Saccharomyces cerevisiae S288C: one gene and its partners. Changing the gene in region 1 together with any one later gene gives a genetic interaction. Each region holds a gene or a part of one and is shown in the gene's direction. Other genes may lie near its edges. The genes, in order: RIM4, IME2, MSS2 and RSM7.

Region 1 (6,143 bases):
CATGACGAGAGCGACACGATATCGTTCCGATCCAACCTTTTGAAGAACTTTATAAGCTCGAACGACGCATTTAACATGCTGAGTTTGACCACGGTACCGTGCGACAGAATTGAGAAGTCCAGATTGTTCAGTGAAAAAACAATAAGATATCTCATGCAAAAACAACACGAAATGAAAACACAAGCGGCAGAGTTGCAAGAAAAGCCTCTGACGCCACTTAAATACACAAAACTTATAGCTGCGGCAGAGGACGGAAGCCGTAGCACAAAGGATATGATAGATGCTGTCTTCGAGCAAGATAGTCATTTGAGGTACCAGCCGGACGGCGTGGTCGTACATCGTGACGATCCTGCGCTGGTGGGTAAACTCCGCGGAGATCTCCGCGAAGCGCCGGCGGACTACTGGACGCATGCTTATAGGGATGTTTTGGCGCAATACCACGAGGCCAAGGAGCGTATCAGGCAGAAGGAAGTAACTGCAGGTGAAGCACAGGACGAAGCCAGCTTGCAGCAGCAACAGCAGCAAGATTTGCAGCAACAGCAACAAGTAGTGACTACAGTTGCCTCGCAAAGTCCTCATGCAACTGCAACGGAAAAGGAGCCAGTACCCGCCGTGGTTGACGACCCACTGGAGAACATGTTCGGAGATTATTCCAATGAGCCGTTCAACACCAATTTCGACGATGAATTTGGAGATCTTGATGCTGTATTTTTTTAATAGCCATGGGCGGCTACTTCTTGGAAATATATACTTTCCTTTTACATATTTAGTATAGTTATACATGTGGATGTGTATGGAGGTAAGATCAGATAGACCCTTCACTGTTTTCTGTGTATTCCTTGTGACATAGTGGATTTGTGCAGCTACTGCTTATAGGAAGCAGTGCCTGCAAAACAATTCATTCGTTGGTTGATGTGGCGCGCTGACTGAATGTGTAGGGTCTGTTGTTACCCCCTTGCTCCGGGGGCCCACATCTCTCTGACGCGAAGAAAGGCTCGAGATGTGCCAGTCGTAAACACCGCCTCATTTCCCTTGCATTCTCCTCCAGTGAAAAAGCAGTACGACCTATCTCCGAAAAAAAAAAACCTCCTGTGCGTTTACTGTGGATCATGCAACACGATTTCTGTAGATTAAAGACGTTTTTGGCATGGACTAAGCTAAATTCCGTTTGATTAGCCGCCCATAACGGGTGGCAAACAACACGATGAAACTCTATATCCCCGCTTAACGTTTCGGCGGCTGTGATCAAGGAAAATAGTATATAAGTTCGTCGGATTTCTTATTTGTTTTCTCTCTTCCTTTCTCTCTCCCTTTCTCGTGCTTGGTTGTTTTCCTTAATTAGTTAAAACAATAAAAGAACAAGAAGGAGAAGGCGATTTTGGACTAGAAAATCACGAAGAAAAAATATCTAATTGCATTCCTATATATATTTATATACATACTCTCTATTGTTTGTTTTTTGCCTGCTCAAGAAGAAAGAAAGAAAAAAATATTATCTTTTTTAGCTTGTTGAAACATGAAAACCGAAATCAGCACTGCGGATTCCCTTCGTGATCCTCCCTCTAATGGTCTAAAGGCCGACTCTGAGCTGGTTATCAGAGAGGATATAGACCAATTTTTGCCTTCGGAAGTATCTTCGTTGGGGTCAGATCACCAGAATGATGGTGAGGATTCAGACACTGACAGTGACAACTTTTTGCAAGACCCTGAAGACGATGTGGATGAAGAAAGCACTGGTAGAGGTACAGTCACTACCACTTCCACATCCACTGAGTCAAGAGGCCGTCCATCTTCTTGTATCTTCGTGGCAAGCTTAGCAGCAGCCCTATCCGATGACGAATTATGTCTGTCGGTGACTGAAAATTTCAAAAAATACGGTGATTTGGCTAGAGTTAAAGTTTTGCGTGATAACGCAAATAGACCTTATGCTTTTGTTCAATACAACAACGATCATGATGCTAAACATGCTCTGATCCGCGCTCAGGGTACTTTATTAAATGGCAGAAGGTTGCGTTGTGAACCTGCAAAAGTGAACAGGACATTGTACTTGAAAAACCAGCAAAGTATTGATTTCAACGAGATCAGTCAAATTTGTGAAAAATTTGGTGGTTTGGAACAGATTGTTCCTGATAGAACTGATAATCAATACACGAGAAGATATACTTATCCGATATCTTCGGCAAATTCTTGGTTTGTTCAATTCGTTTACAGAGACGATGCAATCAGAGCTTATGCGAATTTACGAACTGATCCCAATTGGATCATCGAATGGGCACAAAATATAAACGTCCCAAAAAATTATAACCTTTTACACAAAAGCAAATTCAAAAGTTCCAAATACCATCAAAACAACGGTATTATCAATAACGATGGTAGTAACAACAACGATAATAATAATAGTAATAATAATAATAGAGAGGATTCAAGGAGGAATGGCGACGTTATAGAAGAGGAGTGCGGACATGTGCATGGTAGTGATTCAGAGGAAAAATTGACAAGCGATGGTATTTATGACGACGAAGATAAAGATTCCGAGATCACCATTGATAAAAGATCCATTTTCGTGGGTCAATTAGACAAAGAAACCACCAGAGAGGAATTGAATAGAAGATTTTCCACTCATGGTAAAATCCAAGATATTAATTTAATCTTCAAGCCAACAAACATATTTGCGTTTATTAAATATGAAACCGAAGAAGCTGCTGCTGCTGCTTTGGAAAGTGAAAACCATGCAATTTTTTTGAATAAGACAATGCATGTTCAATATAAAGAGGTAGGTGGTCGTCACAACAGGAAGTTCTCTGGTAAGAACGGTGGCAGCAACTTTAACCATCATCAGTTTTTTAGCACCAGATCGGGCAAAACATTTACAGGGCCAGAACTGAACTTAGCACCACCACCAATCAACATGTACAGGAAAATGAGCGGCGGATCCCAGCAGGAAAGCGAAACTATGATGCCATACATGCCCATGGGGCCCATGCCCATGGGGCCTCCACCACCAAATGCAGCAAGTCTCAGTGATTTTGATATGTTCCCCCCAAGTTACTCCACGTTTATGAAGGGAATGATGCCATTGAGGCGTAAATCTATGCCCAATTCTTGGTCATCCCCTTCTTCAAAGAGTGTGAACTCTGAAAATGAAAGTGTTAATGGTGGTGATGAGAATTCCGAATTGCCTTCCGAAATTCCTGAATCATCTGGTAGATATAATGCTGCTAATTCCTTTACCACATATAATAATTCCTCAGCAGGAAACTCTAACAACAACAACAACAACAACAACAGTAACAGTAATAAGTCTCAATATAAAAAGCGCTATGCAAGGAGGTCAAGCTACGGATACAATGAAGTACCTCCAAAACCATACTATTTCCAGCCTTATTACTATCACCCCATGCAATACCATATGGGCCCAATGGGCCCATTGCATCCTTCTCAAGGTTCTGCTGGAAATCACCATCCATATATGATGGTTTATCCCATGTCACCACCTCCGCCTTCTGGGTTAGATGGAAGCATGATCCCTCCTCCAATAAATGTAAGCCAATCACATGCTGCTAATCATGGCAGTACCCATGTTCATGCGAACGAATTCATATCAAACGATACTGGTGACATAAATGAAGATAACAAAGCTTATAGTTTAGATTACTAAAAATGATTGGTCGTAAAAGCTGCAAAAGATGTATGTAATTCAGCGGTGATGTTAACTTTAAAAGTGCAGTTTCGTTTTCTTTTTCGTCTCCCTATTTTTTTCTCTGGATCTTTTTTTTTTTTTTCACTTGGTATTGTTTTCATCCTTCTTTCCTTCTTTTACCTTCTTTGTCTCCTAATATAACAATACATACTTTCGAGTTTTGATTACAAGTCACTCGAAATGTTTTTTTCCTTTTATATATTCTTCCTTTTGTCTATTCTTATATACACATATTTTAATTTTTGGTAGATTTTTTTTTTTTTACTTACATTTTGTTACAATAGAGAGATTTACCAATGGTGTATCTCGATTAAATACTTATCTAGAGCATTGAGCAATTTCTTTAGGTCATGTCTGCTAATTTCCTCTTTGATGATAACCAATTCCATGGGGACCTTTCCATTGAAGTACTTGAGCAACTTGTTAAAAAGAATCTGGATATCTGAAGGCTGACCATAAATACATCTATAAAGCCATCTTTTTTCAATCGCAGTGGCTCTTTCAGGTTCCAAAATTATAGTATAGTCATGTTGCATTTCTGGATCATCGTATTCGAAGTGTAGTATTTCTTCTTCATCCGCAATAGCTATTTCATTGTCATCACGATCATCAACACGACTATCATTTTCGTTATCTTTTTCGTCCACATCTTTGTTGTTGTCGTTGGACTGCATGCCTTCATTCTTTCCTGAACACGCTTCGCTGGCGTTTGCATCTCTACTTTGCCCATCTTCATCATCCAGCTTTTTATCAGTTTTTTTGTAGTCCATGCTGGGCCTTCTAGCAGTATTAGTCTTACGGAAGCCTTCCTTTTCTAGATCCTCATCTACTGCCATTTTTATGTGTTTGTCCACTCGGATATTTATGAAAGTCAATAATTGGGTTACATACCCGTACTGTATTAACCACGCTAACGCGTTCAGGTAAACTGGCTTATGTTCCCTTGATGGGATTATGTTACTGTACGCTTGAGGTTTGTCCGTGGACAACAAACTTAAAAAAATGGGTAAACTGGGCAATGATGGGAATTTGGATCTGAACAACATCGAATTTTGATAAATTAGTGGTACTCTGTCGCTTCCACTCTTATTATTTTCGCGATCGTCCATTTTTTTCACGTTCCCATCATTTTGTGAAGTACTTTTATAATCATCTATTGTATAACCTTGAATAGGAGCCAAGGGTGAAACAATATACGTGTATTTGGAGCTTAGTGGGATCACTATTCTTGCATGTCTCCAATACATTAAATGCAATGCGCAAGAGCGCAGTATGCTTGATTCCAATGAGTTTGTTTCTGTAGTAAGGTCGTCCAGTGAAGAAGGGTTATCTAATAAATCAGTTATCAGATAGCGATACGACCTTAGAGGGATATTTGGCTGGATATTTCTGACTAAATGTTTCAATATGATAGTGCCAATATCGTCCTGGTATGAAAAAGTTTCGAGGGAGCTAATAATATTATTTGGCTCGTCCAATAATAATAGCGCATAGTTTAAAAGGTCATCATTGTCGTCGCAGTAGTAATTGCTTTCATTGTCGTCCCCGTCATCCACATTTGCTGCTCCACAGTGGCCGGTACTATTAATATTATTGCCAAACCTGTATATGTTATTATTGGTATCACTGAATTGAGCCTGATCGTTTTGACGATTTTGACTTTCAATTCTCAATGATGATTTTTCTAAAAATTTCATGTTCAAAATGGACGTCAAATATGAGCCTCTTAGCACGGGTTGCAGTTTGAAGTTTGGCATTTTTTCAAACTCGTTTTGAATCGGGATTTGCAAGGAAATTACTTTATCGTCATTGATCTCAAGACATGCGATTTCATTTCGTTGGATTTTATCAACACATTCCGTTAGCGCCCTAGCCAACGAAGATTTGGCTAAAATTCTTTGGTACAGATACTTCCCCTTGTTTCCTGCGCCTCTTATAGATTGGTATGTTTTCGAATGTTTCAGTACCCGTTCTTTTTCCTTTAAAATTATATGGCATTCGCTAGAAATGTACGAGGTTTTTGATTGCACATATCTTAACAATAATGATAACCTTGTAACAACAAACTGATACATGTCATCAATCCTTTTATTATATTCGATTAAATGCGGATTCATAACAAAGCATACATGAAACATGTTCATATTTTTGCCCAAGTCTTCCTTTTCTCTCTCAAATTCGTTTCCACTGACATCAGTATTTATCCTCAAATTCGGCGTATCAGTAGAAGCCTCATGACCAATATTACTGTCATAAACAGTGTCAGCTTCACCACTATTAACTTTCTTCAAAGTATTCTCACTCAGTGATGAAATTTTGGAAGCGATAGATTTCTTTCTACTGATGTTTGTTGTAGTACTCGAAGATCTTTTAGAGCGGGTTTTATTTTTGTGCTTGGATTTTCTCCATCTGCCTTGAGAATCTACATGAATAGGTAAGCCTA
Region 2 (6,242 bases), on another chromosome or scaffold:
TTGTAAACGGCATGAACTTGATGCAGCTTCCAAAGGTTTAGACCTTGAGTACACCTAACCAATTGAACTTCGGAAGTTCTTGTTGTTGCATCACCAAATGAAACAATCATACAACCTGGAAGATACAAAACTGACCATCTATTTCAAGGACTCTAGAAGTCATAACCATATATTCTTCAAGCCTATGCGTCGGAGCACCATACATCATAAGAGCTCTACACATGCGTAGGATGAACCGGTGTCTTTGTAAAATGTCTGCAATGTGAACCGTAATTTTCGCTTCAGTTTTTAGTCTTTTCTTCAGTCTAGGCATTCTGCCTTTTTTAGCCTTGCCTTTTAAATTTTGTAATCTGCTACGCTTGGCAACTGGTACGTCTTTGTTTCCAGCAGTAGAAGAAATACCTTCATCATCTGTTGTTACAGCTTGTGAATCTGAAAAGATTGAGCTTGAATTTTGATCTTCATTTTGGTAAAGTTTCAATAATGACCCTAGTACTCCACTTTTCACTTGAGATGGAGGGGGTACGTATGTGGAGGTTTCAATAAACCCTTCGTTATCGTCGGATGAATTGTTTTCTGCATAATCATCAAAATGATCCACTGCAGGAGCCAGAAATGAATTTTTTGAACTTGAGCCTAACGTTTCGCCATCCGACGTACAATTTACGTCACCTTCTAATTTGAGAGCCTCCAGTTTTTCTTTATCGTCGCCCTCATGAACGTCTACGATTTTAGACGCATCAGCTAGATCGGATAAGGGAATTTCTTCATTACGGTTATTTTTTTCTATATCATTCTTCCCATTTTCATTTTCTGAAGGTATTGGTGCCAAGCCAGGGACCAAACCCCCTTGATTTCCAGTCAGGTTATTTATTATCTTCTTGATGAACGTCTCATCGTCTCCATCCTTACCATTGTTCCTTAAATGTGTGAAAGAAACTTTAGGCTTCCTCTTGTGGCGAGCAGGCCTATCTTCTTCATCTTGTCCATCTGTGCCCTTAGAATTATCGCTGGTTTCTGTAGATCTTGAAGACAAATCATTTTCTAGAGCATCCGTATCAGCAGTGAATCTTACATTTTTGTTATCATTATTAGAAATACCTAGATCACTGATGCTTTTACCACTTAAATTGCCTTTTTTGCTCTCGGCTGAATTGGAAGTGCGATGGTCACTACTATCTTCAAGATTCACTCCCGCTTGACTTTGCTCGGAGCTTCCCACCCGAAAATCTGACACAGGAGTGGTTGGTTTTTCATTTCTACCGTCCATTGTATAGCCTATCGGTTATTCGATCTTTTTTCTTTTGTTATTCTATATCTAAAAGATAAAAGTCGCACACCGCTAAGTAAGTAAGTAAGTGTTATATAAGATTTATTTAGCTACGTTCTCAGATATAGTAGGCTTAAAACAAACGTAAAACATAGTTATATATTAATATGCAATTCGGTTTATTTCTTTTTCAAGATTCTTCCGAATTTCGTCATATTGGGTTCGCAATTTTTGGCGATGGCTTTGCTTCGATATTTTTCGGATGAAAATAGTCAAAGGACACTAGAAACACGAATGGCGCGCTGATTACGGAGACGTCGGGCTAAGACAAAGAGGGTCCATTCGGCGTGCTGGTGGTACTGTGACAGATAAACCCAATGCCCCACTTTTCTCGAGGAGTTGAAACAAGCGGGACAACTGCTACGTCATAAAAATGGGAGTACCAAGGGAGGAGCCATAAGCCGGGTAAAATTTGGCGCTGTTTTTCTTAATCTAAAAATAGTTCAACAATAAAATTTGGGCTCCGCCCATCCAGACCAAAGCAATCTTCGGCCTTAACAAGCCAAAGGGAACGAAACCCAGACTCTACCATGCATTTCGAACATGTTGTAGCTAACTACACTGGTAACCCAGATACCTATTCTCTCAGTAGCTGTTTCACCAAGACTCCGCACTCATGGTAAGTAGAAAAAGAAAACTCTCACAAAAATCTGAGTGGCACAGCTTTTCCAAATACGCTTTTTAAACTTGGAGAAATAAAGATGTATTACCCGCTGGTGCCTTAAAATATCCTTTTCTCCGGTTGTCCAATAATTTATGTTACGGCGGCTATTTGAGTTTTTGTGGAAATCTCTATCATTAATAAATGTCAGCCTTGTGTCTTAAATGCAATTCAACAGGGAAAAGGCGCGAGACTTCGGCGGCAAAAAGCCACAGACAAGTGCTGGTTGCAAAGAGGTAAAGAAGTAATGTGTGTAATCAAATAGATATATTAAGGTAGCAACTCACCGGTCTGTCCATTTTCTTTTCCTGAATAACTTCTTCTGTCTTCACACATTCATTTCATTTTTATTTTCCAATATCACTCAACGAGAAAGAAGTTACAAGATCTATCTTTCAAAATAGTTTACAGTTACCTTTACTTTACCCTTTCCCTTTTCAGTTTGTTACCCCTTCTCCTAAAAGTTTTATTTTTTGGGTAAAGATATAAAGGACACTCCAGTCGGTTAAGGTGGCTGTCTAGAGAATATAAACCTGTATTTATTTACCAGGCTTATCAGAAAAGTTAATCGTGTTCTTAAATATTCATTGAAAAGGAACGTGATACAGACGTAATAAAAGAAGAGTACTAAGCTTAACTTAATAGGTCATTTATGGTTGAAAAACGTAGTAGACAGAGTTCCAGTAGTGGCTCAGAGTTCAGTGTTCCACCTGATGTCGATAACCCGCCACTTTCTATCCCTTTGAAGACTTTATCAGACAGATATCAGCTGATCGAAAAACTAGGTGCAGGATCATTTGGTTGTGTAACTTTAGCCAAAGCGCAATTTCCTTTATCGAACATATTGGGTAAACAACATGATATAAGGGGTACTTTAATGGATCAGCCTAAAAATGGTCACCAAAACTATATAACAAAGACACAAGGTGTAGTGGCTATAAAGACAATGATGACAAAACTGCATACACTCCAGGATTATACGAGGGTCAGAGAAATTAAGTTCATACTGGCAATCCCAGCGAATGACCATCTGATACAAATTTTTGAGGTCTTTATTGACTCTGAAAATTACCAATTACATATCGTAATGGAATGTATGGAGCAAAACCTATATCAAATGATGAAACATAGAAGGCGCCGAGTTTTTTCGATTCCTTCTTTGAAATCTATTCTATCGCAGATACTGGCTGGGTTAAAACACATCCACGAACATAATTTCTTCCACAGAGATTTAAAACCTGAAAATATTCTTATCACACCAAGTACCCAGTATTTTGAAAAGGAGTACATGAACCAGATTGGATATCAAGATAACTATGTCATTAAACTTGCAGATTTTGGTTTGGCACGCCATGTTGAAAATAAAAACCCGTATACGGCCTACGTTTCCACAAGATGGTATAGATCGCCTGAAATATTATTAAGAAGTGGTTACTATTCCAAACCTTTGGATATTTGGGCATTCGGGTGCGTGGCGGTGGAAGTTACTGTATTCAGAGCTCTCTTCCCCGGTGCTAACGAAATCGATCAGATATGGAAAATTTTAGAAGTTCTTGGTACACCTATCAAACGTTCTGATTTTGTTAATACAAACCACATCACAGCTCCACCACCTGGTGGATTTTGGGATGATGCCAGTAATTTGGTCCATAAATTAAACTTGAAATTGCCTTATGTAGAAGGTTCATCGTTGGATCATCTACTTTCTAGCTCCCAACTATCCGATTTATCTGAGGTTGTCAAAAAGTGTTTAAGATGGGATCCTAATGAAAGGGCAACAGCCCAAGAGCTTTGTGAAATGCCATTTTTTGAAAACACCGTGGCATCCCAAGTAGACGCAAGAGGCAATGTGACTAATACAGAACAAGCATTGATTTTTGCAGGTATAAATCCAGTAGCGACCAACACAAAGCCCATATATTTTAACTCTTCAACAAAATTGCCCGCAGAAACAGAGTCTAATGATATTGATATCAGCAACAACGATCACGATTCTCATGCTATGTGCTCACCAACATTAAATCAAGAAAAACTAACTTTGGTAGAATTTTTAAACGAATTCGTTGAAGAAGATAATGATGATCACTCAATACCTGATGTTGGAACAGATTCTACCATTTCAGATTCTATTGATGAGACTGAATTATCAAAAGAAATTCGTAATAATTTGGCCCTTTGTCAACTACCAGATGAAGAAGTCTTAGATCATTCATTATCGAATATTAGGCAGTTGACAAATGATATTGAAATTATAAATAAAGATGAAGCAGACAACATGGAACAGCTATTTTTTGACCTGGAAATTCCTGAAAAGGATGAGTTTCAGAGAAAACAACCATTTAATGAACATGCAGATATTGATGAAGACATCGTTCTACCATATGTGAACAACTCAAATTACACACATACAGATAGGTCACATCATAGAGGTGATAATGTTTTGGGTGATGCCTCTTTAGGCGATTCGTTTAATTCAATGCCAGATTTTACTCCAAGAAATTTCTTGATACCTACATTAAAAAAATCACGGGAAAAGTTCGAGCCTCATCTATCCAATTCAAACCAACATTTTGGAAATGTAACCTTCTAATAATTTGTCATTTGACTGACGAATCGTTAGGCACAGTTATATAGTTATATACACATAGACATACATATGTTCGCATATATATTATATTACTATGCATTCACCTAAATAGCTACTGCTCTATTAATACAGTGCTTTTTCGATGGCTTTAATTTAACTTATTAGACATTACTTTGCGTTTATTCCCCTCCAATATATTTTTATGTTTGTTTTTCTTGAACATTTTATGATTTCTTGCTCTTGGCGGCTACTGATTTTGTTAAGCAACTCATCAAGAGGTCAAAAAAAGTAGAACGAGATCTTTGTGTTCGGTTACCCGGCTCAGATCCTAACTTGGTATGTTTATTCGTATAAGTTACTGTTGTCCACAGGCAATACTCTGCAGAAAATTAAAACGGCATTAATGCTAGGACAACCAGAACTGTTACTACTGTATGTGCGATAGTTGATAACTGCAACATTATGCCCGGTATATTCTCAAAAAACCCTATTACTGCATACGAAGAAATCGCAAGAGAAATCTTTCGGTTTGGAAAAGCTCACTGTGAGGTTCCTTGGAGCCAATAGTAATACAGCACAATCCAAGGAAAAATCTGGCCTATATGCAAGGAAGGAGAGATAGTCAAAAGCATTCTTTCCCCTAGAAGTTGGTGCATATATGGCATCGTTAAAACATATTACCCCCAAAATTTCTTCTCTAAACGATGTGCTTGGCCTTTGTTTTGGTTTTTGATGTCGGTCGTTTGAGGCCCCTTGCGGAAAATCGAGATCGCCGAATGGCACGCGAGGGAAGGGAAATAAGGTTTAAAGGCACTGAAACAATAGGCAAGAAGTAGGCGAGAGCCGACATACGAGACTAATGTGTCCGCGTTTCTAAGGCCACTTTTCAATGAAACGGATATTGATATGCTAGTAAAAGGACGAGCTCAAGAGCGAAAATATAAGTAAAGAATTCGAGTGCACTTGTCTCCATGCAGCAAGATTTCATATGAGTCTTTTTTATCTTTTTACTTTTTACATTACACGATATGCACTTTATGAAAATTTAACGAGGTTGGAAGCCGGATAATCAACCAAAATCAGGCACGAAGGCACACTCGTATATGCATGTTGTTGAAACTCTGTTACGCTGAACTAACAATCACACATGTAGAGGTCACCGGGAAAAGTTGCGACCCCATGGAAGGTCGATCTCTTCGTTTGGCTTTGCTTGGCTGGCGGCATTGCGCTTCTTCGCTTATACCCGTCTCTTGACGCTCGAGCTCGTTCATTGAGATACCTTTATTCTTGCACATTTTCTGGCTTTTTTCGCTACTCGGGTACATGTAATCATGCACACAGAAGGTGCTGTAGGGTGAAAGTTCCTTTGTGCTGTCGTTTGTTTTTAATGCCAAACTTTCTGGTGATCAATAACCACCTCTTTTTCCTTCAGGAAACCTTATTATTGTTCTTGGATAGTACTAGGAAGTATATAAGGAACCTCGATTTTGGTATTGCACGGCTATACACATCTAAGAAACTTTGTATAAAAGGTGGCTACCCTATTCATAGCTTGATATCAATAGGCCATCTCATCACTTTTTATTGAAAAGGAAAGGAGGGAAATATATCTGATTCAAATTACTTGTTTGCTTCTCTTTAAGACAAAAGCATAGATAATTTCA
Region 3 (5,258 bases), on another chromosome or scaffold:
AATTGCAAGTCAATCCCGGGATGACGTCAAGATAGACAGTCAATCTGTCACAGAGGAATGCTTGCTAATCCAGGAGCTGGCGAGCTGGCTAGCTGTGGAGACTATTCCACCATGGTACACACTAGGATCCTCGATCTTGGTGAGCCATGAGTAGAACTTGTTTGGTTCCACCCCTCCGGTTGCCATGTTTATATCTTCCTCAGCAAACTGTTTATCTTGCATTGGTGAGGCGATTGGGTCATCTCTTTGGAAATGGGCGGTAACAAGGTGGTCAACCACCGGCCAGCCGTAAGCGTTGGAAAACCTTCTTCTTACGATGATGTTATTGTGGGCATCTGGTTTCAGCAATACCACGACTTTCCTCCAATGCATCCCCTTGTGCCAGCGGCGTGCTATGATTTCCTCCATCTCTTTTCTCGTCTTCCTCGTTTCGCCTTCCTTGGCTGCTGTTCCTTCATAAAGTGTTGGTGATGGAGGCGGTAAATTCTTTTCTGTGTAGATCTTATCATGTATGATTGTTGCGACCCTTGCATCGGGATCTGAGAAGAACTTTGCGTCGGGGCATGGTGATAGAAGCACAGACTTCATAGATTTGATGACGGAAGCATTCATCAAGCGTTTAGATTTCTTGTCGCAGTTATTTTCCTTGCTCTTCCAAAACGTGTTCCATGACGATGCATTGATTCCATCATCATCATTAGCAACATCGCTATGATTTGGAAGTTCCCCAATAGGACTTACTTCAGGCTGGAAGAGAGGATCACAAGGTGCCGTAGTTTGACCTCCCAGTTTCTGAAGTAATTGAGAGTAGTCCAAAAAAAGTAAAGAAGAGGAGTACAAGGGAACTATTCCGTCGTTGACGGCATTAGCATAAAGTGTTCTTCTTTTGAATCGAGCAAGCACACTGATTAAGGATTCCTCGGATAGCAGGTAAAGTAGGGGCTTATCACCATAATTTCCATCCTTAAGACCCAGTTCTTGCCCCGTAGTACCAATGATACCCATCGACAATGACATTTTTACGTAATTGGGCGTGCTGGTAGCAATGCCTAGCAATGGTGACGCCAGTGAGATAAAATTGATTGGCTCCACTTTCTTAAAGAAATATGGATATTTGGTCTTTATGTAACAAATAGCAAAAGTTTGTGTTAATCCACCCAGGGAATGACCAATAAATGAAATTTTCCCAACAGAGTCATCATATAACTCGTCGATGATGTAGTTTGCCAATCCAACACCCAAAAACTTAATACCCTTCTCAGTCTCACAAGCATTCTTCATATATCCCTTAATAACTAGTCGCTCATTTGGATTGTTCATTTGAGCCTTGTATATTTCTTCCATTAAGTATTCCATATCTGCCGAAACGTTTGATTGAAAACCATGCGTGAGAATGACTAAATGGGATTTTTGCGACATGTCTATGGGTCGTGGTACTTTCCATATATCTGCGGTGGTAAGTCTATGCACCGATAATCCTGTGTGTAAAATATTGCAGGCTTTATCAGGCAATGAATCATTACATCGTATTTTTCTTTTCAAAGAGGCCTTTGAATTGCCGACTACTATCTCAAAAGTTACCTTAGTTTCTTTATTAAATAGTATTTGACTGACAATATCCACTATCCATACATAGCGTGGCTTAATGTGGTGCAAGGACAACTCTGCAATAAACTTTTGTTGTGCCTGTAGGTTTGATTGAAATACTGGTTTATCCGCCGAACATATGATCTTATACGAGCTTTCGTAATCTTTTGCTCGCACGTCACAATATAAGATAAATGGGCCCAATAGATAGGCTGGTTTATAGGATAGCTTTGTGGTATTTTTGATCTTTACCCATAGGGAATCCAGTGTGATATCAGCGGGAATACTATCACCCTGGTATAGCTCATATGTAATAACGTATCTTTCTAACTCACCTAACTTTACTGACGACTGATTGTGGTATAGCACTTCATCAGCACTCCTGCCAGCTTCCATATTACTACCGTTTCCCCGATGTTTTTGGGTGAATAAGGTCAGGTGAGCATTTTTTGTACTGATATTTTTTCTCTTTGTTTGCAGACACAACGCTTGCTGTTAATACGCTAAAAACATACCACACTACCTTGAACAAATCCTCCAAGAGAAATTTGTAAGAATTCAGAAGCGGTTTCAGGGGAAGTCGGCTTAGTTGTCAATTGTAATTGAAAATCACCCTCTAATTTGAAAGATTTTCAGTTTCAATAAGACATCAATCTTGCCAGTTTGTAATTTTTTGGTATATAGAAATGGTCTTCAAGCATAAGCCTTAAGAAAGATTCGTCCATTGGATGAACCTACAATTTTTTTTGTGTTATGATGTGAAGCTTCATTTGAAGCATTGTGCAGAGAATATTACAAGTAGATTCAAAAAACACATTGAAAAAAAATACAAGTGAAATCACAGTTACTTAAAAGTCATCAAAAAAAATATTCCCGGCCTCAGAGCGAACATATGAAAGTGAATATGGAGTACACAAAGGGTATGTGGGGGTTATATATTGTCGTCTTTCTTTTAACATTCAATAATGATACTAACGTTGATTAATGATGATTCATCGCAGAAAAGAAAGTTGGTGAGGGTACTTATGCGGTTGTTTACTTGGGTTGTCAACACTCTACTGGAAGAAAGATTGCTATTAAGGAGATCAAAACATCCGAATTTAAAGATGGTTTAGATATGTCAGCTATCCGTGAAGTTAAGTACCTCCAAGAAATGCAGCATCCGAACGTCATAGAACTAATAGACATATTTATGGCTTATGATAATTTAAATCTCGTTCTGGAGTTCCTACCAACTGATCTAGAGGTGGTAATAAAAGACAAATCAATACTGTTTACACCAGCAGATATTAAGGCATGGATGCTTATGACTTTGAGGGGCGTGTATCATTGCCACAGAAATTTCATTTTGCACAGGGATCTGAAACCAAACAATTTATTATTTTCACCTGATGGCCAGATAAAAGTAGCAGATTTCGGTCTAGCAAGGGCGATACCGGCCCCACATGAGATACTGACAAGTAACGTCGTAACAAGATGGTATAGAGCGCCAGAATTGTTGTTTGGAGCTAAACATTACACATCGGCTATTGATATCTGGTCAGTAGGCGTTATATTCGCGGAATTAATGCTAAGGATACCTTATTTACCAGGACAGAATGATGTCGATCAAATGGAAGTAACGTTCAGGGCCTTAGGGACACCTACAGATAGAGATTGGCCCGAAGTTTCTTCCTTTATGACGTATAACAAGTTACAAATATATCCGCCCCCTTCAAGAGATGAATTGAGGAAAAGGTTCATTGCTGCTAGCGAATACGCCTTAGATTTTATGTGTGGAATGCTAACGATGAACCCACAAAAGAGGTGGACCGCTGTTCAGTGTTTAGAAAGTGATTATTTCAAAGAATTACCACCACCAAGTGACCCGTCTTCAATAAAAATACGTAACTGATATGATTTTATAAAATTTGTAGAATCTGTGTTATTGACATTAGATGTATCCTCAACATATACAAATAAACTTCTTGATGCGTCTTGTTTTTTGGTGTTGAATTTTAACTCTTTTCCATCATTATGGAATTCGTTTTTAGATTTTAACAACAACAATATGAGGGGAGACAAACAGTAGCAGACGAAAACGAAAACAAAAGCAAGAAATATCTGATCTAAAATATGCAGAGGTTTGTCAGTAAGTTTGTTTCCACACCACCAGTACCCAAAAAGTTTCAAGAGATTTTCCCGAAGAAACGTACGGTTAACAAAATTTTATTCCAGTTAGATACAAGGCTTACATACCATGAAATGTACCCGATATTTCTGCAGGTATCACAAAATACTAATGAAGAGAATATCCCATGGAGGAAGAAATACCCCTATATAAGGAGTTCAGACATTATGCAGATGCGAAACGTCTTGATAACTCTAAGGACGCAGAACAAATTCGTCCACAAAGACTTATTAGCTATGGAGGATAAATTATTGAATATTGCTGCCGAACTTGGCAACAACGATGCTATATCCATCCTAAGCTTCAACGTGATACATGAATATAAAAAGGAAAACGTCAAATCCAGTTATGAAAAAGACATTGAAACGGCTAATGAATTCATAAAGAAGCTGTATGCGCGTAACCATCATTTAACGGTTAAATTAATAGGGGACCTGTTTTTCGAAAACAAAACTTACGATAAGGCTGAGAAATATTACCAAGAGTTCTTGAAATTGGAAAATAGTACCAAATTGGCAGGCGAAGTTCACGGAAAACTTGGGGAAATCCAAATAAAGCAAGTCAATGGTTTTTTGAAGGCAGAAAAGTCATGGCTGAGTTGTATAGAACTGCTGGAAATTGAAAGAAGTTCACGTTGGTACTTTCTGTTAGCGAGGTTATATATGAGTTCAGAGCCCATGAAAGCCAAAGCCTTGCTAGAAAATTGTGCATCAATTGGATTTAAAGAATGCTTTAAAACATTAGGATTTCTTGAATTAAACTATTTCAATAATTATGAAAGGGCGAAAGAATGGTTCAAAACGGGTATGGAAATAATGGACTTGGAATGTTTCTTTGGATTTTTCGATTGCTGTGTGAAAGAAGAGAATTTTAAAGGTGCACGAGATTGCCTAGAAAGCGTAAAAAAGCTAGGGAATGATAAAGACAAGAAAACAATGATAAATGTCTTTCTTGAAAGTAGAAAAGATTCCATAAAGTTGCTGGACAAAGCACGGCTTTAAATGTCTGATCGATTCTTTTTGCGATTTATATAAGGACACATGTCTCCACCTATAACGCGAGCTTGTAAATATCTATATACCCATCTGATAATGTTCAAAAAAGTCAGCTAAGTAAGTAAAATAATAAGGACAATAAAATTAAAATGTCATACAATGTTACCTATGAAATAATTAGGAAATACTGTTAGAGTAATATTTAGAGTTGAAAATGCAATCGCAAAAAAAAAAAAACAGAATTATTTTCATCATATCCATCTATGCTCGTCAGTTAGTTCGTTAGTGTTCTTCAAAAAATCTGGAGTATTTGGGAGTTCACTATCAGTCGGTAAAGACAACAAATGATCATTTGGATTTGCAACAATATCAGCATCGTTGGATAAATGTTCTTGCGCTAGATGATTCTCCTCATTATTAGCATTATGATTGTTATTGCTGTTGACGGTAGTATCCAGTAAATTGAGCGTATCATCCTTGCTAGCTTGACGTCCATTATTAGAGCC
Region 4 (2,793 bases), on another chromosome or scaffold:
TGTTCTTAAGAAAGGAAAAGGGGAAAATGCATGCTAATCACATAATGCTAATGGGCCGGATGTTATTAGTGAGAGGAGAAGAGTCGCTGGATGCTGGGGAAGCGGAATGAGCTTCTGCAGTAGAAGAACCATCGGCAGCGTCACACAGTACTACCTCGCTGTCGATTTCGTCTATTTCGTCGAGGATCCTGTCCAGCATATTGGCGTGGCCCACCATTTTTCGTAGATCAAGTTCTCTGTGGTGGTGTCGAGTAAGGGCGCACTGAGACAGCTTGGAACGTATCTTGCTTATGTATAAGTATTGCTGAGGTATGGTCATGTACGGAGACATGCTGCTAAGCGGTGGGTGAGAGGTTGCCAACGAGGTGGGAGAGGGGAAAAATAACTTTAACACTTTAAAGAACTTCAAACTCAGTAGTCGTCCCCTCACACTAACTTGATCTCCTGTATATATATATATGTGTGTGTGTGTGTGTGTGTGTGTGTGTGTGTGTGTGTTCATCACCTTACTATTGTATATTAATATTGTACGTGTATTTGTGAACATGCACGTTCACTACGCTGCTGTTATGCTACTCTTCGACAGGGGTTGAAAAGGGCGGCTACGTAAATTTTGATCTGACAATGCAGTAAGCACAAACACTCTAAAAGATAAGTTTGCTACGACATCATCTACAGGAAGATTTCTTCGAGAACGCTTTAAGGTTTTTCGCTTTTAAATTATGACCCCGTGGTGTTTGGGTTAAATTACCAGTTGATGCGGGGGGGGGGGGGGGGGGGTTATATCAAAGTGGGGAAAACCGACTAAGGGCGGGCTTCTTTTGCAGTTGGCGTTGTGAGCGGGCATTGTGAAAGAAGAGCCAGGGTATATGGAAGATGGCAGACCCGTGTGGTTTCGGTTAAGCTGAGGCAGGGCGGGCGCGGTGTTGCGGGCGGGGCAGCGCCCGCAACATTCGGCGACTCGACGCGCTGCCAGGCTGGAAAGTTAGGACGGCGGCACCCCTGGTGGTTGCAAGGGTTTAGCTTATTTCAGAAAGGGATACTGGCCAGCAAACGTATTAGGGGCACACTATTGCCATTTTTGAGTATATCCATGGTTGCATGGTCGGACGCAAAGCTACTTTGCTCTGGTCACACTAAATAATCGCGCGGTCAATTATTTAGAGGTATTGGCGAGACATATGAGCACATTCCTCGTCGGTTTATTGTCTCGTGGTCATTTGCGTTAAATGATGAGCTAATACAGAGAGCAGAGCCAAAATGAAAAGCAAAAAAAAAAAAAAAAAAAAAGATAAAGCGATAAACATCGAGCCACGTGACCATATATGAGAAATGATCATCTGAAGAAGAAACAAAGTAGTTCTATACGGCTTTAAATGTTCGTCTTGGCTCCAATCTACATTTGCTTGAGAAATAGCTTACTACATACAATGCACATTATACACGTACAGAAAAGACAGCAGCTATCGTTTTCAGAAGAAAAATAGATAGATACGGATCTGAGGTGAATATAATGCTGCATTGTGCGAGGAGGTATATGTTAGTCAGGCCACGTCTCCTGTGGCAAAGTGGGACATGTGTTGCTCGTTTCCAGTCGTCAGTACGAACACCAGCTAGCGAACCATCGGCAGAGAAAGGGGTCGACGAGTGGCTTGAAGCGATCAACGAGCTAAGGGAAGAGTTCTCTGCAAAAGAATACCTGCCAGAGACCTCGCTGGCTCCACCGGGCCAGTCCAAAGTAGACCTCTTACAGGGTTCACAGGCGGGCTCCAAGATAAAGCCAACTGCAGAGCAGTTGGCACAATGGGAGGCACTGAAGTCCGTGCCCATTCCTCCACGCAAGAACGCAACGCTGGATCACATCACAAACATGATCATGCGCCACGGTAAGAAGGAAAAGGCACAAACCATTCTGTCCAGGGCCTTATATCTGGTGTACTGCCAGACCCGGCAGGACCCCATCCAGGCTTTGGAAAAGTCACTCGACGAACTAGCTCCGCTGATGATGACCAAGACATTCAACACAGGCGTGGCCAAGGCTTCTGTCATTCCTGTGCCTCTGAACAAGAGGCAAAGAAATAGGATCGCGTGGAACTGGATCGTACAAAGCGCAAACCAAAGAGTGTCGAGCGACTTCGCCGTGCGTTTGGGAGAAGAACTCACTGCCATTGCCAAAGGCACTTCGTCTGCCTTTGAAAAGAGGGACCAGATTCACAAGACAGCCATTGCTCACAGAGCATATATTCAATTAAAGTAATCTAGTCTACGTAAACTTGCCTGTACATAAACACATTTATATGATTTTCCGTATAATCTCTTTTTATCGGTCCTGGTAGAAGGCAATGCCCACACCAAGCAGACTGCCCCAGAAATTACAAATAATATCCTTCACATCGAACACCCTTTGTCCCCGCGAAACCACGCTTTGGGCGAATTCACTCGTTACACTTGCGCATAATGAACAGATCAGCACCCCTAACACGTACTTGTTGGCCTGTAGCTTGCGGAAAGTCACGATGTCCTCAGCAAACATCTTTACAAACAGCCACGACTCCCACATGAACACGACAAAGTGAGCAACTTTGTCGTTAGTCGACGTGATCGCTTGAAACACTTTGTTGGTAGTGATGCCTAAGATACGTGCATACCAACGAGCTTACCACGAACATATATACATACGTTCTTCTCAGCTGTACCATTGTTTGCTCTTGTGGTCTTTGGGTTCTTTCTATGTCTACTTTTTTCTCTGTTCGAGTTGATGTGAAAAGAAGTATGTCGCCTCGCTTTTCGCCT

What was found.
Region 2: of RIM4 (region 1) and IME2, changing one suppresses a phenotype caused by changing the other (phenotypic suppression), as found in Saccharomyces cerevisiae (2 studies listed by BioGRID).
Region 3: mutations in RIM4 (region 1) and MSS2 together harm fitness more than expected from each alone (negative genetic interaction), as found in Saccharomyces cerevisiae (2 studies listed by BioGRID).
Region 4: mutations in RIM4 (region 1) and RSM7 together harm fitness more than expected from each alone (negative genetic interaction), as found in Saccharomyces cerevisiae (2 studies listed by BioGRID).

Annotation. Positions count from the first base shown.
Region 1 is NC_001140.6:55,133-61,275, forward strand, and holds RIM4 (Rim4p), read left to right. Parts: upstream 1-1,516; coding exon 1,517-3,658; downstream 3,659-6,143. Other genes in the region: SNF6 (Snf6p), read left to right, coding at 1-717; NPR3 (Npr3p), read right to left, coding at 3,991-6,143. UniProt on the Saccharomyces cerevisiae protein: Positive regulator of sporulation-specific genes and of sporulation. Required for premeiotic DNA synthesis and meiotic chromosomal segregation. May act in a nutritional signaling pathway.
Region 2 is NC_001142.9:218,747-224,988, forward strand, and holds IME2 (protein kinase IME2), read left to right. Parts: upstream 1-2,643; coding exon 2,644-4,581; downstream 4,582-6,242. Other genes in the region: pheromone-regulated protein PRM10, read right to left, coding at 1-110; YJL107C (uncharacterized protein), read right to left, coding at 107-1,270. UniProt on the Saccharomyces cerevisiae protein: Protein kinase which is essential for the initiation of meiosis and sporulation.
Region 3 is NC_001136.10:265,219-270,476, forward strand, and holds MSS2 (Mss2p), read left to right. Parts: upstream 1-3,702; coding exon 3,703-4,758; downstream 4,759-5,258. Other genes in the region: YDL109C (putative lipase), read right to left, coding at 40-1,983; TFIIH complex serine/threonine-protein kinase subunit KIN28, read left to right, coding at 2,480-2,507, 2,589-3,481; PHO2 (Pho2p), read right to left, coding at 5,004-5,258. UniProt on the Saccharomyces cerevisiae protein: Required to stabilize mitochondrial cytochrome C oxidase subunit 2 (COX2) and to translocate the C-terminal domain of COX2 through the inner membrane.
Region 4 is NC_001142.9:637,696-640,488, reverse strand, and holds RSM7 (mitochondrial 37S ribosomal protein uS7m RSM7), read left to right. Parts: upstream 1-1,513; coding exon 1,514-2,257; downstream 2,258-2,793. Other genes in the region: YJR115W (uncharacterized protein), read right to left, coding at 38-547; YJR112W-A (uncharacterized protein), read right to left, coding at 2,321-2,630, 2,680-2,699.